Linked DNA regions of Caenorhabditis elegans. The protein of the gene in region 1 interacts with the protein of each later gene in a pairwise test. Each region holds a gene or a part of one and is shown in the gene's direction. Other genes may lie near its edges. The genes, in order: tpst-2, mpz-4 and ifb-2.

Region 1 (10,181 bases):
ACTCATTTATCATACTCGCAAGCCTATTATACACACATTTTCGGTTTTTAGGATTCGTTTTTGGTTTGAAAATTTGAATTTGTTTTGAGCATCCAAAAATGGAAACGTTTAGTTGAATTTCACAAGTAAGTACACAACAACTGCACCAATTCCTTAAACTCTGAAGATCAATTTTCTAAGAAAACAGTGTATTTATAAATTTCAAACAATATTCTTAAATTTCTCAATCATACTTTTATATAATTCTACATGTTGTACGTATTTAATGGCTTGGTTTTGTTTTCCCTAAAACGACTTATTCCATCTTTTGGACATCATTCTAACTATTCAAAAGCGTCCTTGAACCGGAAGACGACTCTTCTCTTCTTATTCTTTAATTCTTCTCTTTGATTAGCCAAGAATATCCATGAGAACGTCCGAAACGGAACACAAATAGCTGAGAGAAATTCAGGGATAGATATCTAATGGATGTTGGTGATGTGAGAGAGAGAGGAAAAAAACAAAATTAGTTGTTGTTTGCGGTTCTCATGGTGGGCGAGCGGGGTGTGTATGAGGTTATTAGTTACAATCTTTGACCTAGTTTTTAAATTAGGAGCTAAAGTTTGAATATGTGAAGAGTTGAAAAATTTTCAACTTAGCTCCTCTGTAAAATTAAGGACAAAATTTTATTATAAATGAATCTTTAGTAATCCAATTTCACCCATAGTGCAAAACGTGATTTCAATTTTTCTAGGAGTTTCAGCATTAGCCGCGGTCTAATTTAAAAATTTAGCCTAATTGTAAGAGCATAATAAGGTTAACAAAAAATTGAGCATCCAGAGACTTGCCAAAGCTTAATATTCGTCCTGTACCTAAACCCTGAATCAAAAGCCCGTAGGTCAATCTCAACAAACAAAAAAGTTGACTATTTCAAACAATCCTTGTGTTTTGCTGTTCAGATAAGAACTAATCTGTTCAACCATCAAGTTTCCAACAGGAACATGCACAAACTGACTCTAGCAGAACTTGCTCCCTTCCGTAGTCATAATCACTTTGTTTGTCTCTAGGTGTCTTTGTCAGTAGTTGATTATCCCTCTGATGCCTTCCGTGAGTAGTTTTTTGTCTATCTCTCAACCCGCCGTGAGGCAGCTTCTTGATTTATTGACATAACGAAGCAAGAGAGGGAGACAGCAAGAGACAAAAAATCAGATCATCGGTTTTTTTTTGTTTGAATTGTTTGAATTCGAGTTTCACGAGCCCAGTTCGACTTCCAAGCACGCACGATTTTACAATTCTTGTTGTAGTTTGACAAAATTTGCTTTTCATGTGCTTTTTTTTGTCTCCTGCCTGTTTCTCCTTATTCTTCGTCGTCTTCACATTTGAATTAGGAGAAACGAATTGCAATGAATTGAGTGGTTTGTCCTTAGTAAAATAGCGCATGTCCCTGTGAGACTTGGGCAAATAAGTGTCGCGCCACAGAAAGACCTTCCTCTTCCGAAGACAGTAATCATCGTCCGGGTGGGATCCATCACATCCACTAGTTTGAGTGTTCACCTATGTTTAATTTTCCCCTGCCTTTTTGGGTTAGTCAAGTTAGGAAAATACTGAGTGAGACAGTTTTCATATTACTGAAGTGGAAAAATACACCTCAGCAAAACTCCTCTTTAAGCTTGAAGCTCTTCAAGATCGGCAAGCTTACTTTGGGCATACTTGAATTTCAGACACAGGATAAATGAACTGAATTCTTTGTATTTCAAGCAAAATAGATATCCCTTTAATTCTTTCTGTACATATTTTGAGATGTTTTATAAACCTATTTTTGAGTGGCATCATTTGGAGAAGTTGCCAAAAATGTTAAAGTTTAGCTAGTTTTCATATACAAAAGTATCTAGCACTTTAATTTTCTAATTTTATTCAACAAAAATGAGCCCACCTAACCTGTCCACCAAAATATGCACAAAAAATATTTGCTCTCTCATTTGCGTTTTCGAGTGTATTTCTATGTTTTTTTTTGCCCGTGTTGCAATGTTTTGCTTCTCACTCGACTGTTTGTCAATTCTCACAGCTATACACCGACGGGTGTTGTCAGGAGAAGGGCGAAAAGAAAAGAAAACGCTAAATTTTTTATGGATACTTACTCTTTCCCGGGTTGACCCCGTGGAAAGCCAGTTTTTTTCTCTTTTTTTCACTTGGCAGAATGCTTTTTTTTGTTATTCCTGACCACTCTGAAGTCATGTGTCTGTAGTTTTAGAGATTTTCAATTAATTTGTAAGGAGGGGGAAAACCAATTTCTATTTGTGCTAATGTTTTTCTGAATATATTTTTCATCGAGCTTCGAAAAATGGAATATATTTTCAGTTTTATTTTTATAACCGAGCAAAACTAAAAATTGATGATTTTCCAAATTTGCCGGAAAAAGAAAACGGGAAAATGTTTCGAAAAGGCACAATTTTAAGTGTTTCCGTCCCTCATAACATTTTGGCCAAATAGGAAATTTGCCGGAATTGAAAATTTGCTGCAAATTGGCAAATCGGCAAACCTAATTAACGACCACATCGCCACATAGATCTAACAAAAGCCACTAAAATAGTAAATCCCTTATCCTTCCCTTTCTTCATTTTTATTTTCTCTTCCCAAAAGCTCTGTTGGTATTCAATTTCACATCGCATCGTGTGTCTCTCTCTCACTGTTTGTACATTATTCACTATTTCCACGCCGCCCTTTATTTAGTGTACACATATTGATGTACAATAACAATATCCCCAAAAAATTACCAATTTGTGGGTTAAATTTCGAGGAAACTGCTAATTCTCCCGTTAAACTCCACTTTGATGTTTTAAGTCCTCACAATTCTTTGATCCATCCCGATTTCGGTTTGTCGGTGTGAATTGTAAATCTCAAGGACACATTTATGGCACATTTACCATTTATCCCCCCCCCCCTTTTTTGCCTATTCACTTCTACACATGAATACACCTCCTACCACCCATCTGAATACATTGTGACACACTCAAATACACAGAAATTGACACCCTTCGGAATATTTTTGAGATATACTTCGCGTTTTGCTTCTGTGTTTGTCTTTTCAGTTTTATTGGAGAAAATTTTAAAATTATTAGTTTTAGGAAACTCAGTATAGTCAGGGCTCTTTTCCGGAGGTTGCAGTAGAACCGGAGCCCGAACCTGAACCGGAACCAGAACCTGAACCGGAGCCTGAACCGGAGCCTGAACCGGAGCCTGAACCGAAGCCTAAACCAGAAGTTGAACCGGTGCCACAACCAGAGCCTGAGCCAGAGTATCAACCTGAACCGGAGCCTGAACCAGAGGTTGAACCGGAGCCAGAACCTGAACCTGTGCCGGAGCCAGAGCCTGAACCGGAGCCAGAGCCCGAACCAGTAGTCGAGAAGGAAGAAGAAGTTGTAGTCGGTAGGTTTCAAATGTAATCTTCAGCATTCTTAATCTCTAGATTTTCAGAATCTCCTCCTCGAGAACAAGAACCTGAAAAATCTGGAAAATCCAAGCCTTCGAGTCCGATCCCCGACGCCCCAACAATGGAAGATATCGCTCCGAGAGAGCTCGAGTCTCTAAACTTTTCCGAAACGTCTGGTACCTCCGATCAACAAGCCGACAGAATTATGCAGAACAATGAAAACGAGAGAGTCGAGGAGAAGAAACAAATGAGCCCAACTCCATCACAACCCCAACATAAGACCCCACAAAGATCTGGGATTCGGCCACCAACGGCGATTCTGCGACAGCCAAAACCGATACCAGCATCTTTGCCAAGGTAATTTTTTCATTTGTTGCTCACCTAGTGACCACTCATCACAAATTCTGAGCATTTCCTTGTTTTAGGCCAGCAACTGCTACTCCCTCGTCTCAACGCGCTATTAGTACACCAAGACAAACTGCTTCAACAGCGCCATCTCCGAGACCCATATCGTGAGTGTTTATTTTTTCATAACAATTTCTCGAGTTATTTGAAGATTAAAGATGGGTTTGGTTCTGTCCGTCTTATTGTATCCAAAATACGTTTTTTTTTTTCATTTCTCTGCGCTTATATGTATTAGACGTATCTTTGCCTATTTTTTTCATTCGTGGTAGTAAATAACTAGATCTAAGTTTGCTAATGGACGTATCTATACTCATTTCCTGAAACTATCCCATAGTGAAAATACATCACCTAAACTTGGTGCGGAATATTTGTTGTCTGGGTATTGCAAAACATAATTGCTTCCTCTATTGTTGTGCACCCAACTGCTCCTATTTCTTTTATGGCACCTGCGATCTCAATTTTTCAAACTTTCTCACATTTCCACGTAGAATTTGAGTTATTACATATAGTTGTTACTTATATATAGAATGTTATCATTACTGATTGACCATAAATTGAAAATTTTGCTTGGCTTGAATAATCCCTATTATAGCCAATTAGTAAAAAAGTAACAAATCTTCAGAAAAATGTCTCGAGAACGGTCGGATGTTCAAAAATCCACGTCTACGCGAAGCATCGATAATGTTGGAAGAATGACGCCAAAGGTTAACGCCAAATTTGTAAATGTGAAGAGCAAAGTGGGAAGTGTCACCAATCATAAGGCGGGCGGCGGAAATGTGGAAATTTTCTCGGAGAAAAGAGTGAGTGAACATTAAAAAATTTTTCTGCGATTTGAGCCAATCAGATGACGTTTATGAAGGTCGCTGTTTAGCTCAAAAAAGAGCTGAACAAATCGGTCTTGTAGATCTCATTTTTGGAGAACACCAAATAAGGATGTTCGCCAGAAGTTGCATTATCAAAACCTAGATATTTTTTACACATTCAGTTATTTCAGCTCTACAACGCCCAATCCAAAGTTGGCTCCTTGAAAAACGCAACACACGTTGCCGGAGGCGGAAACGTTCAAATCGAAAACAGGAAGCTAGATTTTTCGGCAGCTTCACCAAAGGTTGGCTCGAAAACCAATTATCAGCCAGCAAAGTCTGACGTGAAGATAGTTTCGGAGAAGTTGACTTGGCAAGCTAAATCAAAAGTTGGGTCAATGGACAACGCAGCGCATAAGCCTGCTGGTGGAAATGTTCAGGTATTTTGAAGATTAAGAATTTGAAACACGAGTGAACTTGAATTTGACGTGGTGGCTTTTCATATTGCAGCTATTGATTTTCAGATATTAAGTCAAAAATTGAACTGGAAAGCCGAGAGTAAGGTTGGGTCAAAGGACAATATGAATCATCGGCCTGGTGGTGGAAATGTTCAAGTTCGTAATAAACTAGGCTACACACACAATATCACGCTTTTCTTCAGATTTTCGACGAAAAAATCCGCTACGTGTCGACGGACTCGAGCCGGAATCATTCTACGCTGGACATCAGCTCGTTATGATCGGACCACGCTTTCACTTGAATTTTACCACACCTCACTGATCTTCAGAGGTTTTGTATTTTTTCAGCAAACTGATGACCTCTTTTTGTAATAAATTTGATTATTTGAATAATTCATCTTCTCAGCACAGTTTATCATCCATCACTGGATCACAATTTGCCCCACGAAATTTCAGGTAATTTCCAGCGAAGTGGCAGTAAGTCGACCAAAAATGATGACGGCCACAATAATTGATAAGAAGAAGGATTTTGCAAAACGACAAAGTGTCTCACAGAGATCTTCAAGCAATTCTCTACTGCCCAACAAATTTCCAGGCGCCATTTATCCTCTTTCTCCTGATTTTATATTCAATCGCTGATGTATACCGCGCTTAATAATATGCTTTCAAATATTTGTGCAACTATTGAATTAATTTTTGAATATATTAACTGTTCCCAGCCGTAGTTTCTATTTGACTTCCCTGAGCATGTTGAATCGAAGAATTTTATCCCAAGGTTTCAGCTTTTTTATCTATATTTTCATTTTTTGCTTTACAATCTGTCTTTTGATATTCTCTTCAATAAAGTGGTAATTAAAAGTGTATCGTGGGTTCTACTTGAAAATGGTAATTTTTCAGTAAGAAACTTCAGGAAAAGTTAGAACAGCTAAGTCTTTCAAAAGAGAGCTTAATCTTCAATGAGCAAGATGCTCGACACTCGAGACGACTCCTCTCAAATTTGGAGCAGCTGATTTTTGTGGGTGGTGTGCCGAGAAGTGGGACTACTTTGATGAGAGCTATTCTAGATGCACATCCGGATGTTCGATGGTAAATTTAGAAAATTTCAAAAATGCGATGTATGCTGCGCTTGGCCAAAAGATCTTGAATTTCTTCTCCTTTAAAACTTTTAAACTCCGTCGAAACAAGGCTTTCTGAAGTCAAGACTTTTTCTTGACAATATGATACTTCTTATTCAGAAAAAACAAAACGTATTACTTCTGCTCACTTCAAACTTTCAGTGGCGGTGAAACCATGCTGCTTCCAAGTTTCCTTACATGGCAAGCAGGCTGGCGGAATGATTGGGTCAATAATTCAGGAATTACTCAGGAAGTATTTGACGACGCTGTTTCAGCATTCATCACTGAGGTAGTGCTCTTGTCACCGTGTTCATCTTTAATTGCAATTCATACAGATAGTCGCGAAGCACAGTGAACTAGCACCTCGTCTGTGCAACAAGGATCCATACACCGCATTGTGGCTTCCGACTATTCGCCGACTGTACCCGAATGCAAAGTTTATTCTGATGATTCGAGATGCTCGTGCCGTAGTTCATTCAATGATAGAAAGAAAAGTACCAGTTGCTGGGTATAATACGTCTGATGAAATTGTAAGGTCTCCCTAATGAAACTCTTGAATTTCTAAAGATAATTTGAAACATTTAGTCAATGTTTGTTCAGTGGAATCAGGAGCTTCGAAAAATGACTTTTCAATGCAATAATGCGCCAGGGCAATGCATAAAAGTATATTATGAACGACTGATTCAAAAACCTGCGGAAGAAATCCTACGTATCACCAACTTCCTGGATCTGCCATTTTCCCAGCAAATGCTAAGACATCAAGATTTAATTGGAGACGAAGTTGATTTAAACGAGTATGTGCTTTCTTCATTAAAACTTTTGAACTTCAACTATCTCTTAATTTTGCAGTCAAGAATTCTCTGCATCACAAGTTAAAAACTCGATAAACACTAAAGCCTTAACCTCGTGGTTTGATTGTTTTAGTGAAGAAACTCTACGAAAACTTGATGACGTGGCACCTTTTTTGGGAATTCTTGGATACGATACGTCGATTTCAAAACCCGATTATTCCACATTTGCGGATGACGATTTTTACCAATTTAAAAATTTTTATTCTTAAAGTTTTGCACTGTAACCTATAACTTTTATAGAAAATAAGATGTCCAAAGTTACCTACATCATAGATTGTTATTATTTTATTTTTATCTATAGATACAACTGTTAACCTACATCATTATCATTATCTCCCATTGTTTTCAGATAGAGGTCAAGGTAACTTTCTAATTCTCCACACTCTCTGCAACACTATAAAAAAGAATGCGCGCACGCACAAATGTCCACTATTCCGCCGGACACGGCTGCTTCCTGCAGCTGTATCGATTTTTCTTTTGTCGTTTTTTTCTTTTCGAACAGGATTTTTGAATGCATTCTTCTATATTTTTTGAAAAATAAAACTTGCAATTAATATACTTACAATTAAATACATGCTGTTGGATTTCTAGAAAATTGCTTACATTGTTAGTTAAATTAAATACTATGCATTATATTTATAAATAAAATATTTATTTATTATAACTTAGTACTTAGTACTTAAGTACTTAAAGTACAAAGTAGGGGAAAAAAGATCAGGAACTAGAAATCTTATGATTAAATTTTGATAGGCTAAATTATTAGAATTTTGTTTAACTTCAAACGATTAATTTTGAAACTAAATTCTTACTTTGAGGTTTTTTTAAAAATCATATTTTATGTCAAATCCGACTTTTACCATATACTACTCTAATTATATTACTATGAAAATGAGCATCCAAAATCTCAACAAGTTTCCAGATGAGCCGTGCTCTTCTTTTCTTCGTTCTCGCCATTCTGGCTTTGTCAGCCGAGGCACGTGGACCACGTGTCACTGACAAGGTCTTCTTTGACATGGAGATCGGAGGAAGACCTGTTGGGAAAATCGTCATCGGACTTTTCGGAGAGGTCGTGCCGAAGACAGTGAAGAATTTCGTTGAGTTGGCACAGAGAGCTGAGGTATTTCAGTTTGTTAATTAAATTCTGTAGACTTTAATATTTTCAGGGAGAAGGATACGTTGGTAGCAAGTTCCACCGTGTCATCGAAAACTTCATGATTCAAGGTGGAGACTTCACACGTGGCGACGGAACCGGTGGACGATCGATCTACGGCGAGCGCTTTGAAGATGAGAACTTCAAGCTTCAACACTACGGACCAGGATGGTTGTCAATGGCCAACGCTGGAGAAGATACCAATGGATCTCAATTTTTCATCACTACCGCCAAAACCTCATGGCTCGATGGAAAGCATGTGGTGTTCGGTAAGATCCTGGAAGGAATGGACGTAGTTCGTGAGATCGAGGCTACACCAAAAGGAGCTGGAGATCGGCCAATTGAGGATGTTGTCATCGCCAACGCTGGACATATTCCAGTAGAGAACCCATTCACTGTCGCCAGAGCAGGAGTTAATTAAACCTAATGATCTACGGGTTTTCCAATTAATATGTGTATTTTTGTTGAATGTACTATAATTACTTTCTAAAATTCTAATAAACGTGTTTTGTTTCAGTACTTGATTATACAGCGCTGTCAGGATGTGCTACGTTTTGGAACTTGTAATAGTATTAATAATTGAGCAACCTGACTTGCCAATGTTCGAAATACCAAAAACACTATATCATAACTTTGTGGAGTATTGGTTTCAATTCTGAAGTTGAAATACACTTCTAAAAGCAATAATTTATTCTCGATCCGTTCGTCTAACTAGTAAAGTATAAAGATTTGTACATTTGAAGACTCATTAGAATGGGTTGGGGCACGTTCCGGTATTGACAAAGACCGACTTCAGGTGAGTATAATGTTCGAGTACTGCTGTTCCGTTTTCACGTCCGAATCCTGATTCTCCGACTCCTCCGAATGGAACCAGTGGCGCTGAAATTACAGGTTCTTTTCTAGATCTAGTGGGATTCGGAGCAACTTACAAACATCATTATAGGTATTGACATAGACGTTTCCAGCATTCAACTGCTCAGATACTCGATAGGATCTTGAGAGGTCTCTGGAATAATGAGATTTTCATTGAACATGCTTTAATAGGGTACTCTTACTTCGTGACTAGACCCGCAGCTAATCCCATATCGGTGTCATTTGCAATTTTAATAGCTTCATCTTCGGTATCAAATGGAATGATTAGAAGTACGGATCCAAAGATTTCCTCCCGATATACTGTCATTTTGGGTGTAATGCCTGTTAAAATACATGGAGACAAGTAGAATCCATTCTCGAGGCCATGAACGGCCACACGATCTCCACCACAAAGCTTGGTGGCTCCTTCGGCAATGGCAGCTAAATAATGGTGTACTATTGAGAATCTACTTAAATTTCTAAACTTACTACTTATATACCCTTCGACTTTGTTACGATGCTCTGCAGAAATATGGGATCCAACTTGAGTATCCTCTTTCAAAGGGTCACCAATTTTCATCTTCTGCGTGTGATCTACCAACTTCTTCGTAAACTCCTTCAGCACACTTTTATGAACCAAAACTTTTGAAGCATTAGAACAAACTTGTCCCTGACTGTAGAAGTTAGCCATCATTGCACAAGACACCGCCGAGTCGATATCGGCGTCGTCGAACACGATCAATGCGGATTTTCCACCAAGTTCCAGGGTTACTGGCTTGATATTTCGATCGGCGCAGGCTTTCATGATTTTCTTTCCAGTTGGGATGCTTCCAGTGAATGATACTTTTGATACCCCATCATGATGAATGAGATCTTGTGCAGTTTCAGCGTCACCTTGAATAACATTGAACACTCCATCCGGTAGTCCAGCACTTTTCAAAATTTCAGCCAATATCAGTGCAGTTACGGGTGACAGCGGGCTGGGCTTATATATGACAGCATTTCCACAGGCCAGTGCTGGTGCAGTTTTCCAGGAGCATGTTTGAATTGGATAGTTCCAGGCACCGATGGCGGCGACCACTCCAACAGGAAGACGGCGTGTATAGGCGTAACGAGAAGCATCGAGTGGAACGTGTTG
Region 2 (10,255 bases), on another chromosome or scaffold:
ACTTTCGTAGTCAGTCTTCCAAAATAGGGCTGGGACCAAAAAATAATTTTGGACCAAAAAAAAACAAAAAAAAATCAAAAAAGCCCCAACCCTGTTCCAAAAGCTGGTCTTAGTAGACTTCTAAGTTTTTAACCGGGTTTAAAAGTGGGTAATCAACTTAGAAGCTTTTCGTAAAAAATAAAATTATCCAAAAAAAATCATGAAAAATTTTTGATCGAGTTGGGTGAAAAAAAATTTAAAAAGTTGTTTTTTTTCAAACTGATAAAAACTTTCAAAAAGCTAAAAGTGTTTAAAGGAGGGGTGTGCGGCAAATTTGCCGAATTTGCCGATTGCTGAGCACTGCAAATTTCAAAAAAGTAAATTTGCCGAATTTGCCGGGCTCGGCAAATTTTGAGATTTGCCGCACATCTCTTACTTAAAGTGTACATAAAATATGACGATTGCGGATAAGGTTTGATTCCGTATTAAATTGTTTCACTGAAACAGACATTTTTTCATAATCTGTTTTTAAACTTTTCTACACTTGTTTCTATAATATTTTATTAATTTAAGGCCAAGAAGGAATGCAAGCAGTATTAGCATCAGACTATTCAATCGGACAATTCAAATATCTTGAACGTCTTCTTCTTGTTCACGGTCGATGGTCTTACATTCGAATGGCAAAGTTCCTCAGATACTTTTTTTACAAAAACTTTGCATTTACACTTACCAACTTCTGGTATTCATTCTTCTGTGGATATTCTGCTCAAACAGTTTTTGACGCTGTATTGATTGCTTGTTACAATCTCTTTTTCACAGCACTTCCTGTTTTGGCAATGGGATCTTTGGATCAAGATGTTGATGATCATTATTCACTGAGATATCCTAAGCTTTATCTGCCGGGACAGTTCAATTTGTTCTTTAATATGAGAATATTTATTTATTCTGTACTTCATGGAATGTTTAGGTAAGGAATTAAACAGTAAACTTTAAAAGTAAAACAATTGCTTTTAAACAAAAAATTCTACTGTTTCAAAAAATTTATAAGAAATACAGTTTTGGTAATTATTTGTTCTTGTATTGCTTCTTTAAAAAATATTTCTGCTATCACATTTCTCAGTCAAGAAAAGTCAAGAAAGTTCATGATGAGATTTCTTTATTTTTTCTTAAAAGATTTGCCAAATCAAGGTGATCCCCAATCATTTTACGCTTGTTCCAACTTATTGAAACAGACAAAATTATGAAAAAAAAAATTCATTTTCAAAAGTTAATAAAATAGAAAAATTTTTTTAAAAAATATTTATATTCATAACATTTCTTTCATAGCTTCTCAGAATACTTCAAACATATATTTGTTGCAGTTCCCTTGTGATATTCTTCATTCCATATGGTGCATTTTACAACGCAGCTGCTGCTTCTGGAAAGGATTTGGACGATTACTCGGCTCTTGCTTTCACTACTTTTACTGCATTAGTTGTAGTTGTTACTGGACAGGTATGGGTTTTTTTAAATTTCAATTTAGCGTAAATCAATTGTTCTAAACATTTTGTGACCATATTGAAACATACTTTGAGAATAAAAGTATATGTGATTTGATTGAAACTTTGATAAGAATTAGTTTAGACAAAGAAGGCAACGCAATAGTATTCAATATTCATAAAAAATAGTAGAAAATGTAGATTACCGTTCGGCAAAATTTGCCGGCTTGTCGATTTGCCGCAAATTTTTATTTTAGGCGAATTGTCAACTTTCCGTTGACCGAACATCAATCTTCCGGAAGTTCTCAGAGGGATTTTTTATAAGACGGAAGCTCTTAAACCTGTGCTTTTTGAAATTTTTCCCCGTTTTTTCTAGATATTTTCATAGAGTTTACTTTTTTTCAAAATAGATGTCCGAACATTTATAGAATGCCTACGATTCTGTCGATTGAAATTGAAATTCTAAAATTTCCAGAAAAAAAAATGCAAAGCCACAATTTTTTTTCAAATTTTCGGCAAATTCGGAAAATCGGTAATTTGCCGATTTGCCGGAAACAATCGTTTGCCGCTCATTTTTGAGCTACACTACCACAACCAATTAATGCATTTTATGAAGCAGATTTTTTTAACTGATCATGAAAAAAAAAATTCAACATTTTCACAAGATAATTATACACAATTTAACATATACCACAATGGGTATCTTTTTATTGAAACTGTTTATTTGAAACTTGAGAAGAAATAATAAGCTTTTTAATTTTGTCAAAAAATTTGATACATTTCTGAAACATAATTTTTTTTTTCAAAAGTTCAAATTTTTCAGATAGCCTTCGACACGAGTTATTGGACGGCAATTTCGCATTTTGTAATCTGGGGATCACTTGTTCTGTATTTCCTTGTTTGCTTCCTTCTTTACGAATGGCTTCCAGTTTCATGGATTGTCAAAACATCATCTTCAATCTCATATGGTGTCGCTTTTCGAACAATGGTTACTCCTCACTTCTGGTTTTCAATTCTAATGGTTTCAGTTGTACTGTTACTACCAGTTATGCTTAATCGATTCTTCTGGCTTGATACACATCCATCATTTGCTGATAGGCTGAGAATTCGAAAGAAAATGGGCAAGAAACCATCGGCGAAAGATGATAAAAAGTATGTTCGCTTTTCAAAATTTTAATGTGCGATCAGGTCAATTCGCAATAGCACTATACTATTCGATGAAGCTCCATATTTGAAGATAGCATGAAATAGTGATTAAAAATTGTACTCACATACATAATTCAATTTCAAACTTAGTTTCTATCATTCAAGAAATCGTTTAAACGTTTTGAAATTTTCATTAAATTTATTTTTTTAAATAAATACTTTCAGAACCGCATTCAAACGCACGGCAGCAACTCGACGAAGTGTCCGTGGATCACTTAGAAGTGGTTACGCATTCTCTCATTCACAAGGATTCGGAGAACTCATTCTCAAAGGAAAATTGTTCAAAAATGTGGAAAATCTACGGGGAAAGAATAATTCGAATGCGAAAATTCACCCGACTTCTGATGACTTGCAGCCGATGCTTATTTCTAGTGTGCCTGATGTAAGTTCAATGTGAATTTAAAATTTTTTGGCATGAGAATCGGAAACCTAGATAATTTAAACCTAGACAGAAAATGAAATTACTACTCCCAGTGAATAAAAGATAATCAGCAATTTTTAAAAAATCTTTGAAACAATAATTTCGGAAAATTTCAAATAACTTTTTTTCAACTTTTTGCAACTTTGTGCAGTTACAGACAAATTTCCATTTAGAATTTAATTGTTTTCAAATGTTAGCATTATCCGAGACATTTTTCATGCTTTTAGCCATGAATAACCAAACTCAAAATAAGTTCACGTCCCACTACTAATTGTACAGTAATCATATTTATTAATTTATAATGTTGTTGAAACATTCCATTAAATTTTTCGAACAAAACTTTTTTTCACTTTGTTTGAAGGCAGTAAAACTTTGAAGCAGTAATTTTTAAAATCTCAAGGGTAACATACTTATGGGCTAACTTTTCAGTTTTGTTTTTACAAAAAATTATCCATTTGCCCTTCTAATATAATATATTTCAGGACAGCCAAGGAGCTTCAAGTATTAATGCAATGCACCTTCCAATGGGTACACGTCCACAGAATGTACCCCATACATTGAATGTAAATACTGATGACTGGTAAGTTTTCACATAAAATTTTACACACTTCTAAAGCACGTTGCTTCACTTCTGATATACTTACCGTACTTCTATTGTAACTCTATTGTGTGCCATTTATTCACAGGTCTCAATCATCGGATTTCCGTCCAGCCTATGCAAAGGAACCATCACCACTGCAGGGTACAGTAATCCGTGGCGATGGACGGAGCCATAGAAACCACGTGTATTCGCGGGAAACTCAGGTATAATTGTGCTCCATCCGGTTCTGCCGCTTTTTATCCAAATCTGGCGTTTGTAAATAATTTTCATAATGAATTCTTATTTGTTTCAATTTGCTCAAATTATCTAATTTTGTGTGTACTTGTGTTTGTGTGTTACTTATTTATTATAGTTAGAACTTAATTTTTTTCTTTTTAAATATTAATTTTTATGCATTTTGAGATTACAACTATTCAACATACAGTACTCCTATGGAATACTGTAATTTATTCACTTTTGACCTACTTTTTGATCTCGTGCAGTGCAGTGTGTGCTTTCATTTGAACCCTTTGTGCTTTGACCCTTTTTCTGTTAGTTTTCAACTTTAATTCATTTTTTTTGCAATAAATTTACTTTTGATACATTTTTTCTAAATATAATATTTTATTTTTCCAACAGGTCGAAGAACAACCAGACGTAATCACTCGCCTTTAAAATTCATTTTTTGCATTTATTTTCCGATTTTCTTTCAAACATTCTTCCCCGTCTTGTAGGCACCGGTTTTAGGCTCTCAATTGGGTTTTGTTTGCTCTTTTTCTTCAATTTGCTGTAATTATATAATTGGTGATCGCTGATAATGTGATTGATATCAAAATGGGTAATTTATGATGTATTCCAATCGTGTAATTTTTGAAATATTCAATAAATAATTGTTCATATTCTTGTTGTTGATTAATATATCAGTGTCTATAAAAATTTAATTAAACAAGCAGTGGCAGAAAAAAATTTCAAAAAAAAATGCAGTTTCAAGACATTATTATTACTTTTTTTTAACAAAGGTAACACAAAGTAACAGTTTTTAAAAAATTCTATAGTTTCTCGAAATTGGTGAAAAAGTTTGGATTTCACAATTTAATTTGCTTCGTTGGTAAGTAATTTTCAAACTCACACGTTTCAACGATTTATTTATTTATTTATTTTAATACGATTCCATACGAATCGTGTCCCAAGAAAAAACATAAAACATAAATGATTGATTTTGAATCACGCGATTTTGCAGTTTTATGCCGAAAACATTCTCAATAAGTTCAGTTCTAAAAAAAAGTTAGAAAATCACGTTGAAAAAGATTTAATAATTCTGACCTTTGATATTTTATCTTCACGTTCGATCAATTGCTCTAATTTTTTATTCCCTCCCCCCCACCCCCTCTTATCATTGTTCTTCTCGATTCTAATTTATTTCACAACAATCGATAATTCAAGTATCAAACAAATTCAATTCAAAGCATTTGATAGCTTGAAAAGATGCCACAAGAAATTCCACCTGCAGTCAAATATAAAATCTATCCGGAAGGTGCAGAGGGAATAGACACGGTTTGGGAGCGGCCCGGATTCAAGAAGGGAGAGGTGAGAGGGGTTTTTTGGAATTTGGAAGTTGGATTTGGAATCGAAACAGTGAGAAATTTGAATAATAATTTTTGAACTTTATTCAAGATTTTTTTAATAATTAATTTATTTTTCTTCATTGTGAACAATATTTCTTGAACTAAGTAATTGAGGCAGTCGGGGGTGTTCGAAAGAATATTTTATTATAGAATCAAACTTTCTTTTTTTTAATGGTTTAATGGTTTTTTTAATGGTACACTAGTAGTGAAACATAATTTTATTTTAAAAGTTATTTCTATTCTAGAAACACGTATTTCAGATAGAAGCTCGAGTCAAAGATGTGGTCATTCTGCGTGGAGAACCAGTTCCAAACAGCTACAAAATGCTTGTAGAGGCCACATTTGAGCTCCCAAAGAAGGATAAAATAACGGTAAGCGACATCATCAATGACTTTATGTAAAACGTTTTTGATTTCCAGCAACTCGGACTCGTCAATCGACATGGGTTGGTCACTCGTGTTCATTACGCGAGCCCATTCAAAGGAGCAATTCTACCGGGTGACATCATCTTGCAAGTGAACGGTACGACTGTCTCATTCGATGAGAAACAATTGACAGAGCATGTCGACGAGACCACCGGTGGAGCAAGTCTCCAGTCAAATGTGAAGACTGTTAAGAGGAAGCCAACGACTACACCGTAAGGACAAATGTTATGAAAACTTGAAAAATATTTACCTTATTAAGGAAAACTGAACCTGTGAGAGCACCACATTCACTTTATCCAGACTTCAAGGTTGTTGTCGGAAAGATTTTGAACTCAAAATCTGAGACAAAGATTACGGTTCTGGTCGCTAGATTGAAGAACAGAATGTCTACGTCTAAGATTCCAAATGGTAAGTTTGAATATTTGTTTCTTATTGTGAAACAGTAATTTTCATATAATTTCAGGTATCTTAGCCACACAGGATCACACCATCGATTTGGCCATTCTCTACCAATTCAAATACCTGCAGCTTGGTCTGAACGTGCAGCAGGTCGACAGAAAAGTGGTGGTCAACTACACTATTCCGGATTCAGTTTCACATTGTAGTTTGAATATTGGTGAAGCTATTATTGCTGTTGATGATAAACCAATCAACACTCTGGCAGATAATCGTCAACGATTTCGCGAAGGATTTGAGGCGAATGGATGGATTCGATTGTTGGTTGAGTATCCGAATACGGATCCAATCAAAAATATGGTTCGGGGACAGCTTGCAGTTGGTTATTTGCCTCACATTTTTTTTCTTCTATTTTAATTGCAGAATGTTATGAGAACTGCCGAACGACCGCAATACTTGCTTTGTGGAGATGTCCGTAAATACTTTGTAGAAGGAATTGAAGCTCTGAAAAATGGAAAAGCGTTGGCTCCCATTTTAAAAGAGGAAGAAGGGCCGGGAGAAGTTGGGAAGAAGAAGAGTGATGCGAAAGTTACCAAAAAGTATGTTTTTAAATAAATTAAGATAAAATCTTCAACTAATTCAGGGACCCGGCTGTTGGATTCAACAACACAACTGAAGAATTTTTTATTCCGGCGGAATGGAACTCGAAGCTTTTCGTTTGGCTCCCGCCGCTGAAGACCAAGGTGACCGAATCGGCATCTTCGAACATGCCGGTTAAAAAATGAACTTCATTCTTCTTTAATAAAACATTTGACTGATCTCGGGCGGGCTCGAACCACCGACCTTCTGTGTGTTAGACAGCACAGGTAAAGCGCTAAAAGCGAGACATTAACCAAATGTACGTGAAGGCCCGCTAAAAAGCCAATGATGGGTCGCACCTAAAAATTTTTTTTTTAATTATTGGAAAATCTAACATCGGTGATGGAACAATTTAACATTTTTTGGAAAATACTTTAGTTAAACATTAATTTCAGCTAGATTGTTTTATTCAATCATTTCAAATTTCCGAAAAATTTTTTTGAAAATCAGCTTTTATATATTTTTATCAATTAAAAAAAAACACCCGTACAAGCTATTATACTCTGTTCGGCATTTGCTGCTATTTTTGACTATGCTTAAGAGTTTTATGAAATAAAAAAGAATGACTCCATATGATTTTACAGGACTTTTGAATTTTTGAAAAAATCAGCTTTTATATATTTTTATCAATTTTTAAAAAAATACTTCCGTACAAGCTATTATACTTTGATTGACAGATTCTGGTGTTTTTGACTATGCTGAATAGTTTTATGAAATAAAAAAGAATGACTCCATATGATTTTACAGGACTTTTGAATTTTTGAAAAAATCAGCTTTTATATATTTTTATCAATTTTTAAAAAAATACTTCCGTACAAGCTATTATACTTTGATTGACAGATTCTGGTATTTTTGACTATGCTGAATAGTTTTATGAAATAAAAAAGAATGACTCCATATGATTTTACAGGACTTTTGAATTTTTGAAAAAATCAGCTTTTATATATTTTTATCAATTTTTAAAAAAATACTTCCGTACAAGCTATTATACTTTGATTGACAGATTCTGGTGTTTTTGACTATGCTGAGCAGTTTTATGTAATAAAAAAGAATGACTCCATATGATTTTCCCATACTTTTGAATTTTTGAAAAAATGAGCTTTTATATATTTTTATCAATTTTTAAAAAAATACTTCCGTACAAGCTATTATACTTTGATTGACAGATTCTGGTATTTTTGACTATGCTGAATAGTTTTATGAAATAAAAAAGAATGACTCCATATGATTTTTCAGGACTTTTGAATTTTTGAAAAAATCAGCTTTTATATATTTTTATCAATTTTTAAAAAAATACTTCCGTACAAGCTATTATACTTTGATTGACAGATTCTGGTATTTTTGACTATGCTGAATAGTTTTATGAAATAAAAAAGAATGACTCCATATGATTTTCCCATACTTTTGAATTTTTGAAAAAATGAGCTTTTATATATTTTTAATATACAAATACTATTTTCAAGCCATTAATTCATTTTTCTTCCCGGAAATCGATTTCCGCGGAGATGGTTGCTGGCTGGTAATGGCTGTGGAAAATACTTAGTTAAACATTATTCAAGCTAGATGTGTTATTCAATCATTTCAAATTCCCGAAAAATTTTTTGAAAATCAGCTTTTATATATTTTTATCAATTAAAAAAAAACACCCGTACAAGCTATTATACTCTGTTCGGCATCTGCTGCTATTTTGACTATGCTTAAGAGTTTTATGAAATAAAAAAGAATGACTCCATATGATTTTACAGGACTTTTGAATTTTTGAAAAAATCAGCTTTTATATATTTTTATCAATTTTTAAAAAAATACTTCCGTACAAGCTATTATACTTTGATTGACAGATTCTGGTGTTTTTGACTATGCTGAATAGTTTTATGAAATAAAAAAGAATGACTCCATATGATTTTACAGGACTTTTGAATTTTTGAAAAAATCAGCTTTTATATATTTTTATCAATTTTTAAAAAAATACTTCCGTACAAGCTATTATACTTTGATTGACAGATTCTGGTATTTTTGACTATGCTGAATAGTTTTATGAAATAAAAAAGAATGACTCCATATGATTTTACAGGACTTTTGAATTTTTGAAAAAATCAGCTTTTATATATTTTTATCAATTTTTAAAAAAATACTTCCGTACAAGCTATTATACTTTGATTGACAGATTCTGGTGTTTTTGACTATGCTGAGCAGTTTTATGTAATAAAAAAGAATGACTCCATATGATTTTCCCATACTTTTGAATTTTTGAAAAAATGAGCTTTTATATATTTTTATCAATTTTTAAAAAAATACTTCCGTACAAGCTATTATACTTTGATTGACAGATTCTGGTATTTTTGACTATGCTGAATAGTTTTATGAAATAAAAAAGAATGACTCCATATGATTTTTCAGGACTTTTGAATTTTTGAAAAAATCAGCTTTTATATATTTTTATCAATTTTTAAAAAAACACCCGTACAAGCTATTATACTTTGATTGACAGATTCTGGTATTTTTGACTATGCTGAAGAGTTTTATGAAATAATTAAGAATGACTCCATATGATTTTTCAGGACTTTTGAATTTTTGAAAAAATCAGCTTTATCATAATATTATCAATTTTTAAAAAAATACTTCCGTACAAGCTATTATACTGTGATTGACATATTCTGGTATTTTTGACTATGCTGAAGAGTTTTATGAAATAAAAAAGAATGACTCCATATGATTTTTCAGGACTTTTGAATTTATGAAAAAATCAGTTTTTTTTATAATTTTATCAATTTTTAAAAAAAAACTTCCGTACAAGCTATTATACTTTGATTGGCATATTCTGATATTTTTGACTATGCTGAAGAGTTTTATAAAATAAAAAAGAATGACTCCATATGATTTTTCAGGACTTTTGAATTTTTGAAAAAATCAGCTTTTATATATTTTTATCAATTTTTAAAAAAATACTTCCGTACAAGCTATTATACTTTGATTGACAGATTCTGGTGTTTTTGACTATGCTGAATAGTTTTATGAAATAAAAAAGAATGACTCCATATGATTTTACAGGACTTTTGAATTTTTGAAAAAATGAGCTTTTATATATTTTTAAAATACAAATACTATTTTCAAGTCATTAATTCATTTTTTTTCCCAGAAAATCGATTTCCGCGGAGATGGTTGCTGGCTGGAAATGGCTGAAAGACACAACGAGGAAAAACAACAAGCTAGCCACAACACCGTCAGAGGTCTACAACCGATTAATGATAATTTTCATATATTACGATTTTTGCTTAATAAATGCGCTTTACCTGTGAGATGTGATAATCACTACACCACGAGACCGCTGATTTTTTGCTCCAGCTTGTTCCTACAGTTGATTGTGGAAACTGGATTTAAACATACTTATTATTCATTGTCACAAATTTCCCCACGAAATTACCATAAGCCAACACTAATTCCTATGATCGATGTGCCTATTTTTTATTGATCTATGATATTTTCCGGTGGTTCTCCCTCTATTTGTT
Region 3 (12,075 bases), on another chromosome or scaffold:
GCTGCATTTGTCTCAAGATTTATACCGATTTTTTGCACTCCGAGAGATTGTAAGTACATACGTAAAACTCCGTGCGCAAATAGTAATAAGCTTCTTGATATTAGATTTATATAGCTTTAGAAAAGAACCGGCATTTTTTTAAATGTAAAAAATGAGACGGTATTTAAAAATATTAATTTTAGAGAATGAGTCATGTAACATTTTTCTATTTTTTCGGTATTTCTGAGAGCATTTCATTCCCATATGAAAAATCCGGTCTTTTTAATATTTTCGATTATTATGGGTACGTGTTTGCAATAATGGTAAAACTACTGAAACTAACGATAACAAAACAAAAAATAAACCGATCCGCAAGCCACAATTCATTCCCCACAGGCAAACTCCATTTTCAAAGACTAGGGACTACTAAAGATCAGAGCAATCACAGTTTTGTTTCTTTCGAATTTTGCTATTTCCCATTAGCTTTTGCATGTTGATTTCTTATAACGACCAAATTATTTCCAAACCAGCCGTGGACCGCACCTTCGGCGCGGCCCCCGACTTCTGGGGCTGAAAATTAATTTTTTATGACACTACCGTAACCCTACAGTATTCCTACCGTACCACTATTGTACCACTACAGTACCCCGACTATATCCCTACACTAACCCTAACTCACTATCCCTCCAGAAGCCAAAACTTCACAGACTACAAAGACTACATAGACTACAAACTATGGACACACAGAATAAGCGCTTTATATATAGTAAATGATGATTAGTATTTGTAAGCTTCTCCTGAAAATGGCTACAACAACTTCAGATCATTTTCCTGCAAAATTTTATTATTTATTCTAATTTTAATTGTTTTCAGTAGGTCTGCGATAAACAAAACGTTGCAGAATTGTTTCAAGCTTTTCAAGGTAATTTTCAATAAAAATTAAACGGTTTTGAGCAACCGTTTCATTTAATATAATTAGTTTTGCTATAGATAGCATTTTTAGGTCACAGGACAGTTTTCCAAAAACTTGAAATTCTCCCTTGAACGCGCTGCTCCAACTAAAAATGTAACTTTGCTCCTTGTTTCTGCCTTGTGATACCATGCTTTCTCATAGGCGTTAGTATGATTATGTTCAAGTTCACACCTTGAAGAATCTTTTTTTGAGAATAAAATAGTCTTTATTCTGAATGAAATGAACACTTGAACTATAGTATTTTAAGATTATCTAAGGGTAATATGCTTTAAATCTTTTAAAAAATCGGAGAAAATCATGATTTAGTTTTGATTTAAATATTGATCTCGCGAATATTGTTTCTAAATGTAGTCTAGTTTATAATTTAAAAAATTGTAACTGGGAAATTCTAACAAAATTCCCTGTTGATCTTATTCTGATCACTGCATTTTACAGCTATTTTGAAAATACAATATATCCATTAGGAAAAGTTCAATATTGAATTCAAAAATTTTGCATCAGCATTATCATAGCCCTTTACAATCATTTCACGTATTACTATAACTCCGCTCTAAAAACGCAAACTTCAATTCCTTTCACCTTGCACACAATTTCTTCCGTGCCATCGTGCAATTCACAACTTATCTAACAAAACGATAATAAACCGCGAAGTAACAAACGGAAGAAATCGCAAGTTCCCGGCCGCAAATTGTTTGACGCCGAAATATAATATTCCTCACTCGTTTTTTCCTAAAAGCTTATCATCAGAAACCTTTGCGTACTACAACTGAGTCTTTGGTATTTACCACCACAATGCACAAAAAATGAAAAAAGGAGATGATAGGTTTTAGGTGTAAGTCGGATTAGTGCTGCGAGGGTTGGAAAAGTGCCAAAAAGTGTGGAAGTGTAAATGAAAATGACATTTTAAAATTTATGGTGGAGCAAAAAAAACGTTCAATCTGGTCAACATTCATTCGAGAAAAAATTTAGGTGCACAAGGACACAAACTTGAATGAAATAGGCGACCAACAACGAAAAAAAGCGAGAAGTAACAAGAAGTATAAATTCAAGGTAGATATGGTACATGATTACTGTATGATTACTGTAACTAGTGAGTCAGGTGTTTGCAAAATTTTTTAGAAGAGTACTGGAAGTTTGAATAAGACTAGGGTATTAGTGTGGTTGAGGGGCAAGAAGTTTGCGGTAAACTTCAAATTCTTGAGTTTCTCCAAAATAACAGGTTCTATTTTTATTTTAAATTTGAACATGATCTACAATTTTGAAAGTTACACCAACATACATCAGAGTACTTCTGTTATCATTTTTGGAGAAACGAGTTGTACGAGGTTGAATGATTTACCTATACTTTTCAAAACTGTTTAAGATTTTTGAAAGTTCCGTTTGAAATGTCAAAAAGCTTCCATAGGGAAATCGTGTTATCCATTATAGTTGCCTAACTAGCTCCAAAAATGTTGCAAGACTCTGATTCAACGCACACTTGGCCAGAATCATTACTGTAACGTTTATTCAGCCCTTCATCACTATAGAATGTTAGTTCTCTCCTAATATGTTTTCAGATTAAACGAACTCTGAGTCATTTACTCCCCCTAGGAAGGTTCCATAAGTTATATGCTTCCTTCCCTCATCATCTGTCATTTTTAATGACTCAATGCCATTTCTCCCTCATTTAGACCACATTCCATTCCACTCAAAAACACAAAAATGTCTTCGTTTTTGCGTCCGCGTTTTATCGGTTAAAAACGATAAGGAAACTTGAGCTCTACTAGGAATTGGAGTACGCTGTTTTATCAGTTCCAACCAAGCCTGCCACACATCTGTAAACAAATGTTAGAGAATATGCGAAATGAAGAACACGATAAATGAAGTTTGAATGAAAGTACAAAGACTAGTCGTGAGGACTGAGCAAGATGTATGGAGTTGTAGAGAATACCAAAAGCAAAATTCTTTAAACATCCTGTTTTTTGGTATTCATACTTTGGCTAATTTTATAAAGTAATTGACCACAAAAATGAGAAAGAAGCATAAACGGAAGAATTGTATTAAAAAAACAAAACACTGTATTTCCAAAAATTTCAAAATTCCAATTCATGCTGATTAGCAGCTCGCGGACTTTAATATTTGAAAAAGAAGAGGTGTGGTTGATTTTTAGTTTTTTAAAGGTTAAATAATTAAAGCGATGTTTCGAATTATTTTGGAATTCCAATCATAGTTTCAATTCGATGCTTTTTCAATTTCGAAAATGCACAATTTTTAAGAACTTTTTAGCAAGGGTTTTATGACTCACAAAACTCTTTAATCAGAATAAAATGTTAACCAGAACACTTGAAAAGTTACGCTCCGCCGGTAGGTAGGTCTTCCTACCTACCTAGTTATATTCGTCTGCAATTTGGCACAAAATCTAGAGGTACAAGACAGCGCGTAGGTAACCTTCGAGTTTTTTGTGCCTACAAGGGAATTCGTTCACTGTTGCAAGATTCACCTATTTTGTTGTTATCAAATTATTGCGATGAACTTTTAAGGAATTACTGTAGCTGTTTTTTTGTGAAAAATAACACAGATGGTCTTTTTAAGATAAGACACCTCAAGTTCAGTAGACAACAAGAGTAAACAAAGTTTTTTCAGGAAATACTTGTAGCTTTTGAATTACAGTTTAAGAGAGAATTGAATTGATGAAGAGATTTTGATTGAACCTTCACATCTTCAAAATTCTAGAATTTTTAAAATTAAACATTTTTGAATATGACAATACAAGCGAAAATATTCTGTCAATTAAATCCAGATAAATTTGTAAATCCTTAAAAATTAAATTGAAAGGAATCTAGAAGACAAAATGTTTCAGTTCTGAAATATTCCATTGTTGCCGATTATGTTCTGTTGTAACCTTATTAACATTTCATTCGTCATAGTTTCTAGTAAAAAGTTTCAGACTTTGCGGTTCTTAACACCTTTTTTCAAATGTCAACTTCCTCATCATTCCCAGTCAAATGTCATTTTGTTTCATAAATACAAAGAATGTAAGAAAGAGTAGTTTCTTTTTTTCTTCTTTTCACCCCCTCCCCTCCGTTTTCCATCTCTAAACTCGGACTGATAAGTCACCATAAAAGAGAGTGGAATCGAGCATTGCCAACTGATAACCCTCTTTCTTTGCTCTCTCAAAATGCCATTGTAAAATCAAACCTACTACTCCGCGTTTTGTACGGTTTGGTGTTAAGACTCTTTATTTTTTTGAAGATTGAACGTTTATTATTGGTGTTGGTTTTTTAACTGCTGAAAGTGTGAAAATAACATTGTTTTCTTATTCTATTTATTTTTATCTTCTTTTGTTATTAACATCTTTTGTTTTATTTTCAAAATTTTAGCGACTTCATCATGTCGGCGGTTAGTTATTCGATGCACAGAACCACCACAACTACATCCTCCTCATCACACGGAGGTAAGCACTTTTCTTCAAATTTCCAACAGTCACACGACCTCGAGAGTTTTCTCCGAGGAATCCATAATATGGTGACACTAGTTTGTCTGAAATTGATCTCCTCCATTGTCTCAATCTTTTTCTTTGTTTCAAATCTCTTTGTCGGCTTTATTGACACCGTTGTGAACTCCTTTCACACATTGCCGACTAATCCTAGCAGTTTCTCTAGATTATGGGCTTAAGTTAAAATAACTGATGTTTAAATAAAACCATAAGTTTCGACAAATTAAACTCGATCTTAACTTTTAATTCACGATATCAATAAAGAATTGAGACGAGAACTGCAGCGTAGGGACAAACTGCAAAATGGCCTGTTCCTAGATGGTAGCATATAATACTTTTCAGTGAAAAATCAGATTGTTTATGACAAGATAGATCACTCTTATAAGTAGGAATTTTCTGATTGCTAGCCCAAATTGTGAAAAAAAAAGAATAAATATGCCACATTTAACCAATTTACTCTGCTCCTGCTTTGCATTACTTTGACAAATCATATCTCGATTGTTATTATTTCATCAAATAATTTTCAACACTAAAATCACTCTACATTGTTATAATTAAACAATTTTGATGAAGCCTACAACAATTAATATGAGCTGTCAAAATGAAGCAGTGGGAGTGCAAGACTAATAGGAAAAACGGTATATAACACGGAAAATTGTATATCTTAAATCTCAAAGTACAACATTAGCTGTAACTAACTCTATTTTTTAAAATTTCTATTTTAATATTGTGAAAAAATTTGGAAAACAGAGGTTTATTCAGACTTTTGTTTTACATATTCGTACTAAATTAATTTTTAAAAAATGAGTTTGTATTGCTTTTTCCAAACCCTTCACAATAAGACACTTTCACAAAATTTAGTTTATAACAATAAAAAATATGGTCCTTCTTGGAGCACTGCTTAAACATCGGAACACAGTTTACATAATATTTCAGGTGTCTCAGCCGGCCATGCCGCTGAGGAGTTCGTTGCCTCTGCCGAGCGCGAGAAGCAAGAGATGCAGCAGTTGAACTCTCGCCTTGAAGTTTACATCAGCCGTGTCCGTCAACTTGAGGATCGTAACAAGGAGCTTGTGATTGAATTGGACACCCTCCGAGGATCACTTGGAAATGACATCGGACAGATCAAGGTTTGTGCCCCGAAATTACAGGAGAATCTGAAACACTTTTAGTTGTTGACACAATTTCTCTCTTATCAGATAATATCAATTCTTCTCAAACAAAGCGCCCGTTGCCAAATGTGCAGGCGTAAGGAATTTAAAAGAGAAACTGAAAATGGCACTGATAAGATGACAAGTAGTGCTCTGGAGGAAATGGGTGTGTATGTGTGTGTTAAGATTGCCAATAAAATTAATTGAAATTGATCTTGAGGGGTTAATAATGTTGCATCAGAATAATAAACTCAACGTTTTGTAGTTCAAATTCAACGATTCGTTGGTCAAAGTTCGCCGTGAGATCTCAGAAGCTCATTCTGGAACTATTGGAGTTGAAGTTAAGGTCGACAGATTGAGAGATGATTTGAATGACTACAGACACAGGTAACAATTTATTTGCATATTCCATTCTAATGGCAAATATTTCAGATATGAAGAGGCCCGTCGTGAAGTTGAGCGTGAGAAGACCACTTGGGGAGGAGCTATTTCACAAGCACAAGCTGAGCTTGACACAAACAAGTCCCGCTATGCCGCCATTTTGGACGAGGAAAAGAGACTTTATGCTGAACAAGATCAACTCTATCTTCAATTGGCTGCCGCCAAGGATGAGCTTGACGCCGCAATTGTTGATCGCCGCCGCCTTCAAGCTGAGGAAGATGACCTCAAGATTGAGCTGGAATTCTTGGGAAGAATCCACTCTCAAGAAATCACTGAGCTTCGCACTCTTCTTGCTCAAGCTCCAGCCGACACAAGAGAGTTCTTCAAGAATGAATTGGCTCTTGCTATCAGGTTGGATTCAAAAAAAATGATATAGTTTTATTGTCTAATTTAAATTATTTCAGAGAAATCAAGGCTGAATACGACAAGATCATCCAAACCACCAGAGTTGATCTTGAGACAATCTTCCAGAGCAAGATTAGCGCCGTCGAATCATCAATCGTCTCCAAGAACGAGGCTGCCGTTTTCCGTCAAGAGGAGATCAGAAAGATGAACGAGAGCATCACCACATTGCGAGCCAAGCTCAGCGAGCTCGAAGCCCGTAACTCTGCTTTGGAGAGAGAAGCCAACACACTCCAGATTCAACTCGGAGAAGATCAAAGAGCTTACGAATCAGAGCTTCACAAGAGAGACAATGCCCTCCGATTTATGCGTGAAGACTGCCAGACTTTGATTGCTGAACTTCAAGCTCTTCTTAACACCAAACAAACTTTGGATACTGAGATTGCCATCTACAGAAAGCTTGTCGAGTCCGAGGAAGGAAGGTAATATAAGTAACAAAAATATCTCTCAAAAAGAGCAACATATACTTTAATTGATTGTCTCATTCTTCCATTTTATCATTTCCTTACTTTCACAGATTCACTCATGTTGGACAGGGGGTCGTTGTCGCCCAGCAGGAGACTACAAGGTTCGGTAGCTATAACCGCTTCATAGACATTAACATACTGCACACGTAGATATTTAGAATCTAGTTTTATTTCCTAGTTGACTTCCAGAACAGAAGGGGATTCCACTCCCGTTGTTTTAAATGATCAGCAATACTCTGACAGTCATCAATATCAGCAATATCCTGAGTAGGAATCTTTAATAGAATCAAGATATATTATATGTAATACCTTTCAGAGTGTATCCGCAAGGAACTTTAAGGTATCCTAGATTGTAGATTAGTTATTCATAGTATAGTTTTCATAGATCATCTCAACATCAAATTGGCAGAGGTACCAATGTACTAGTTTCAGATCAAAGGTTACTCGTAGTGATACAGTAGTTTATAGCTAATTGCTTTCACAATTCATGCTCTTTCACTTGCACTTTTTCTCTTTTTCACGCACTTCCTTATCTCAACACACTGCTTACTTTTCACATCACCTATTTATCATTTTCTTGGCTAACAATTTTTGTTAGTCAGCAAATCTCAAGGCTTTTAGCTGAAAACATGCACTTTCAGCTTAATCTATCCCCGTTAATTTTAAATTGTTATATTAAATTCTACAGATTGGTACCAGTCGAGCAAGATCACTGGGACTCTGGAGAGGTTCAAACTCGTTCCTCATTCAAGAGACACGCTAAGGGAAATGTGAGCATCGTTGAGTGCGATCCACAAGGAAAGTACATCATTCTTGAAAACACCAGTGGATCAGTTGTGAGTTTAGATCTTTATTTTTATTTTGAACATGAAAAATTGGAAAATTGCAGGCCGAAGATGTAAGCAACTTTGAAATCCGTCGTGTTATTGATGGAGTTCAAGCCTTCGTTTTCCGTCTCCCATCTCACTTAGTTATTCAACAACACGGACATCTTAAGGTATTAATTATTATAAAATTAGATATCATATTGAAACCGGAATATTACAGATCTACGGACGCAATTCAGGAGGAATTAACTCACCACCAGACTCAATTGTGATGGAATCTCACCCATCATGGGGACAAGGAGGACAAGTTGAAACATTCTTGTACAATAGTCACGGAATTGAGAAGGCTTCGCACATCCAGACGACGGTCGCTTCTTCCCGTTAAGAAATCTCCATCATCTAATCGATTTCTTTTTCGATGAATTTAAATTTATTCTGAAATGCCCATTGAATCCTTTCCTTGCTGTCTTCACTCCCAAAATCATTCGACGTACATACTTGCTACATTCCAATCCAATTGTTTTTTGAAATAAATTGTTCAATATTGTTTTAGTTCAAAATCATTGATGATTAAAAGAAGTGTACTTATCACGATACTTCCCAAAAAAAATTTCTTGGTCAAAAGTGGGTCACGATAACTCGGTCTAAAACCATTTCTAAAAAAAATTTTTTTCGCTTTTTTTTTCGACAATTGTTTTAAGCCATTTAGTTATGGTTTTCGAAGGTTTTTTATAATAGTAATAATAATTAAAATTAGGAGTGGTTTTGAACCGAGTTGTCGTGACTCGCTCTTGACTGAGACTACATTAAAATACATTCTACAGAATTTTTGGAAATGATTGAACACGTTGCAAGCTGTACATATATTTTTCAGCACTAAGGGAAAATGCAATCCAGAACTATAATACCAAATTCGAACGGCAGAACCAGGTGGATGCGCTTTTGTATGAAATAATGAAACTTTTCTACCAGTTAAACGTTCTTAATATTAGGTTGGACCGGAAGTCTTTATAACTGGGTTTGCATTGTAAGCAACACCTCATTCCCTTCCCTCTGGGCTGAAGTTAGTTAACCAACGATGTATGTCCCTAGTGCGATCCACATCCGATATGGTTTGATGTACCTCTTTCTCTCTCATACCACGATGAAGGATTCGGAAAGTCTCCTCAAGAATGTTTATGATTCACATGTCCTCTACAATAATATCAAACGCAATTGGTTCCAAAGCTTCGAGAAGGACGAATTTTCTCTCGAAGACTCTGAGACCCCATAAATTGGATTTGGACACGTTGCAGAAAGCCGTGGCAACGGATCCTTTCCAAACCACCCGTGAGCTGTCAACCACACTTGAGCCCCGTCAAACCAACATTGTACGAGGCTGGGAACCTCTTGGAATAAAGAAACGTATGGGTCGATTCATACCTCACATTTTGACACAAGCGAACCTTTATTTTTTAGTGGGTGATTCCTTTTCCCTCCTCATTTTCCACGGGGCCGATCAATGGTTGGGCCGGCTCATTACTGGTAACGAGAAGTGGGTCCTCTACGTTAACAACCACAAGCGTGCTCAGTGGATTGGAGAAGGAGAGACACCACAGGATGCCGCCAAACCCGACCTTCACCCCAAAAAAGGCATGCTCTCAGTGAGGTGGGGAGTGTACGGCCCCATCTACTGGGAACTGCTACCTGAGGGTAAAATAATTTGTGGGGACATCTACGTTATCTAACCATGAAACCTGAAGAAAGTCATCGATCGTTAACCCTTGAAGTACAAGCAACTCTATTTTCAGCAAAACAATGCTAGTCCCCATCTCTCGAAACAAGTATAGTAGGAACAGACCAGCCATGGTTGAATGGTACTCCTTCACGCACCGTATTCTCCAGACCTCACTCCATCTGAATACTAGTCGTTTTCAAATATGACCCGTGTCCACGAGCAGAGAATCTTCAACACCCATAAAAGTACCAATGTGGCACTCAAGCATTATTTCGACTCGCGCCCGGAAGGGTTCTGTTAGCAGGGCATTAATAAGTTGCCCACATGTAGACAGTATATTGTTGATAATGATAGCAAATAAAATTTATCCTGTCGTTTCTCTTGCTTCGAGAAATAAAAGATTGAAAAAGTAATAAAGACTTCCGGACCAACCTAATACATGTAACATCTTAATTTAAAAATTGGGAAGATTTATTATCAAGTACTAAGTCATGCTTGCTGGCTTGGCTCATAATTTAAAATAGTTTAATGTGTTGATAATTTATTGGTAGTTGTAAATAATATTATACAATAACATTTTGAAGATTGGTAGTCGAGCAGGGCCACGGTTATCCAAGCGAAGTTCAAAAACGTTTCTGGTTGCACTTTCAGCTTATTTCCCCCGTTAGTTTTGAATTGTTATATTAAATTCTACAGATTGGTACCAGTCGAGCAAGATCACTGGGACTCTGGAGAGGTTCAAACTCGTTCCTCATTCAAGAGACACGCTAAGGGAAATGTGAGCATCGTTGAGTGCGATCCACAAGGAAAGTACATCATTCTTGAAAACACCAGTGGATCAGTTGTGAGTTTAGATCTTTATTTTTATTTTGAACATGAAAAATTGGAAAATTGCAGGCCGAAGATGTAAGCAACTTTGAAATCCGTCGTGTTATTGATGGAGTTCAAGCCTTCGTTTTCCGTCTCCCATCTCACTTAGTTATTCAACAACACGGACATCTTAAGGTAATAATTATTATAAAATTAGATATCATATTGAAACCGGAATATTACAGATTTACGGGCGCAATGCAGGAGAAATTAACCTAACACCAGACTCAATTGTGATGGAATCTCACGCATCATGGGGACAAGGAAGACAAGCTGAAACATTCTTGTACAATAGTCACGGAATTGAAAAGGCTTCGCACATTCTAATCGATCGTTTCCTTCAGTTATTACACCCATCATCTAATTAATCTCATTACGATTAATCGTTTCAAATAATACTTTAATCATTCCTATATATGTATATTTAATTTTCCGTTGCAAAGATGAAACCAAAAAGAAACATTATTTGTTTTCTAAATGAACAAAAATAAAAATTTCAGTATGAATGAAGTTTCATTAAATTAATATAATATTGTTGATCAAGTTTAACATATAATAAAAATCTATTCTAACATGAGCTTCAAAATGTGAACGTCAACAGCTTCTGAGTCAAGCAGTAATTTTCAGCTTGACCAGAACTTCTTTCAAAAAGGGTGAGTGTGAGTTTTTCCAAAATGAAAGCCGCTTGTGTATGAAATGTGATAACGAATAAAACTCAAATATTTATTCAAAATATTCAAATACAAAACTACTGGAGGAGGTCTTCTTTAGAAGAAGACGATGAAAAAGCATTGAAGACGTCTTTTGTTGATTGGTGGTGTCGATGGAGTTCCAACTACTTCTTGTCTCCTGCAGCAAGATCCTCGTACACTGAATCCTTCTTCTCTCCTTTCGTTCCTCCTTTCTTTCCTCCACAGAAGATTGCCACGGCCGGTAAGACGGTAACAGCAAGGGCCTGAAATATTTATATGAAAAATTTGTTAAAGTAGTATTCAAAATTCGACTGTTTGCCGTATTCCATCAATCAGTCCAGAATGCTCTATAACCTTGCACTTTTTGACTTTTCAATGGTTCTAAATCGAATCCACGCTTTACTTGTGACTTGTACAAAATGTTTCACAAACAGTGAGCAGAATGGATTCATCGCTATCGAGGATCGGGATTTGCGCATTAAAAAACGATAATTTTCAAAAGTTCCAAGTAGCGGTCTGTGCATTGTAGTTGGTACTGTTGGCGATCTCTCTTCGTCTCCTCTATTAAATGCATATGCCAATGCTGTTAAATTCCTGATGATCACAGCTAGTAGTCTCGCATCCTTTTACATAGCAATCATAAATTGGAGTATCACTAAACGGTCATTCACAAGAGTTCCGGGTAGCGACGTGTGCACTGTATTTGATATTATTGGTTAATTCCTGAGTAGCACAGCTGTTTAGTCTCGCACCCGTATACAGACCAATCACAAATTAGAGCAATCCAGACTGATTATAGGAATACGGCAAATCTCTGAAAACTCTGAAAACAAACTCACAAATGAAGCGATTATCATATTCGCTGGACAACGTCGACTTCCGAAATTTTTCTGATTAATTTTTTTCTGAGAAAAATCGACTTTTATATGGGACCAATTTTCCACACTAGGGCATGTCACGGAATTAATTTTAATTCAAAATAGATAGTCAAAATAGAAAAAAAAAACAGAAAATAGATTTAAAAAATTGTTCACGTGTTTCAAAATGTGTTTTTATTTTGTTTGGAGTTCAGACAATACAT

The links.
Region 2: the proteins of tpst-2 (region 1) and mpz-4 interact in a two-hybrid assay, tested with the Caenorhabditis elegans proteins (one large-scale study listed by BioGRID).
Region 3: the proteins of tpst-2 (region 1) and ifb-2 interact in a two-hybrid assay, tested with the Caenorhabditis elegans proteins (one large-scale study listed by BioGRID).

Annotation. Positions count from the first base shown.
Region 1 is NC_003281.10:765,454-775,634, forward strand, and holds tpst-2 (Putative protein-tyrosine sulfotransferase), read left to right. Parts: upstream 1-5,804; 5' UTR 5,805-6,123; coding exon 6,124-6,161; intron 6,162-6,352; coding exon 6,353-6,479; intron 6,480-6,525; coding exon 6,526-6,720; intron 6,721-6,775; coding exon 6,776-6,984; intron 6,985-7,039; coding exon 7,040-7,250; 3' UTR 7,251-7,582; downstream 7,583-10,181. Other genes in the region: ptl-1 (Microtubule-associated protein), read left to right, coding at 3,105-3,405, 3,454-3,766, 3,835-3,921, 4,437-4,614, 4,809-5,057, 5,532-5,714; cyn-6 (Peptidyl-prolyl cis-trans isomerase 6), read left to right, coding at 7,961-8,158, 8,205-8,612; alh-11 (Aldehyde dehydrogenase domain-containing protein), read right to left, coding at 8,940-9,070, 9,121-9,197, 9,247-9,484, 9,533-10,181. UniProt on the Caenorhabditis elegans protein: Catalyzes the O-sulfation of tyrosine residues within acidic motifs of polypeptides, using 3'-phosphoadenylyl sulfate (PAPS) as cosubstrate.
Region 2 is NC_003282.8:4,822,160-4,832,414, reverse strand, and holds mpz-4 (PDZ domain-containing protein), read left to right. Parts: upstream 1-5,094; 5' UTR 5,095-5,149; coding exon 5,150-5,251; intron 5,252-5,549; coding exon 5,550-5,660; intron 5,661-5,708; coding exon 5,709-5,926; intron 5,927-5,973; coding exon 5,974-6,122; intron 6,123-6,177; coding exon 6,178-6,488; intron 6,489-6,533; coding exon 6,534-6,709; intron 6,710-6,753; coding exon 6,754-6,895; 3' UTR 6,896-6,927; downstream 6,928-10,255. Other genes in the region: tat-2 (Phospholipid-transporting ATPase), read left to right, coding at 553-946, 1,341-1,473, 2,281-2,609, 2,829-3,045, 3,567-3,664, 3,771-3,888, 4,304-4,339.
Region 3 is NC_003280.10:5,745,879-5,757,953, forward strand, and holds ifb-2 (Intermediate filament protein ifb-2), read left to right. Parts: upstream 1-4,321; coding exon 4,322-4,385; intron 4,386-5,363; coding exon 5,364-5,557; intron 5,558-5,843; coding exon 5,844-5,965; intron 5,966-6,010; coding exon 6,011-6,370; intron 6,371-6,423; coding exon 6,424-6,843; intron 6,844-6,938; coding exon 6,939-6,989; intron 6,990-7,077; coding exon 7,078-7,155; intron 7,156-7,204; coding exon 7,205-7,228; intron 7,229-7,576; coding exon 7,577-7,724; intron 7,725-7,777; coding exon 7,778-7,885; intron 7,886-7,935; coding exon 7,936-8,100; downstream 8,101-12,075. Other genes in the region: F10C1.8 (LTD domain-containing protein), read left to right, coding at 8,602-8,645, 10,129-10,276, 10,330-10,437, 10,488-10,670; F10C1.3 (Variable outer membrane protein), read right to left, coding at 11,138-11,257, 11,834-11,851. UniProt on the Caenorhabditis elegans protein: Cytoplasmic intermediate filaments provide mechanical strength to cells. Not essential protein.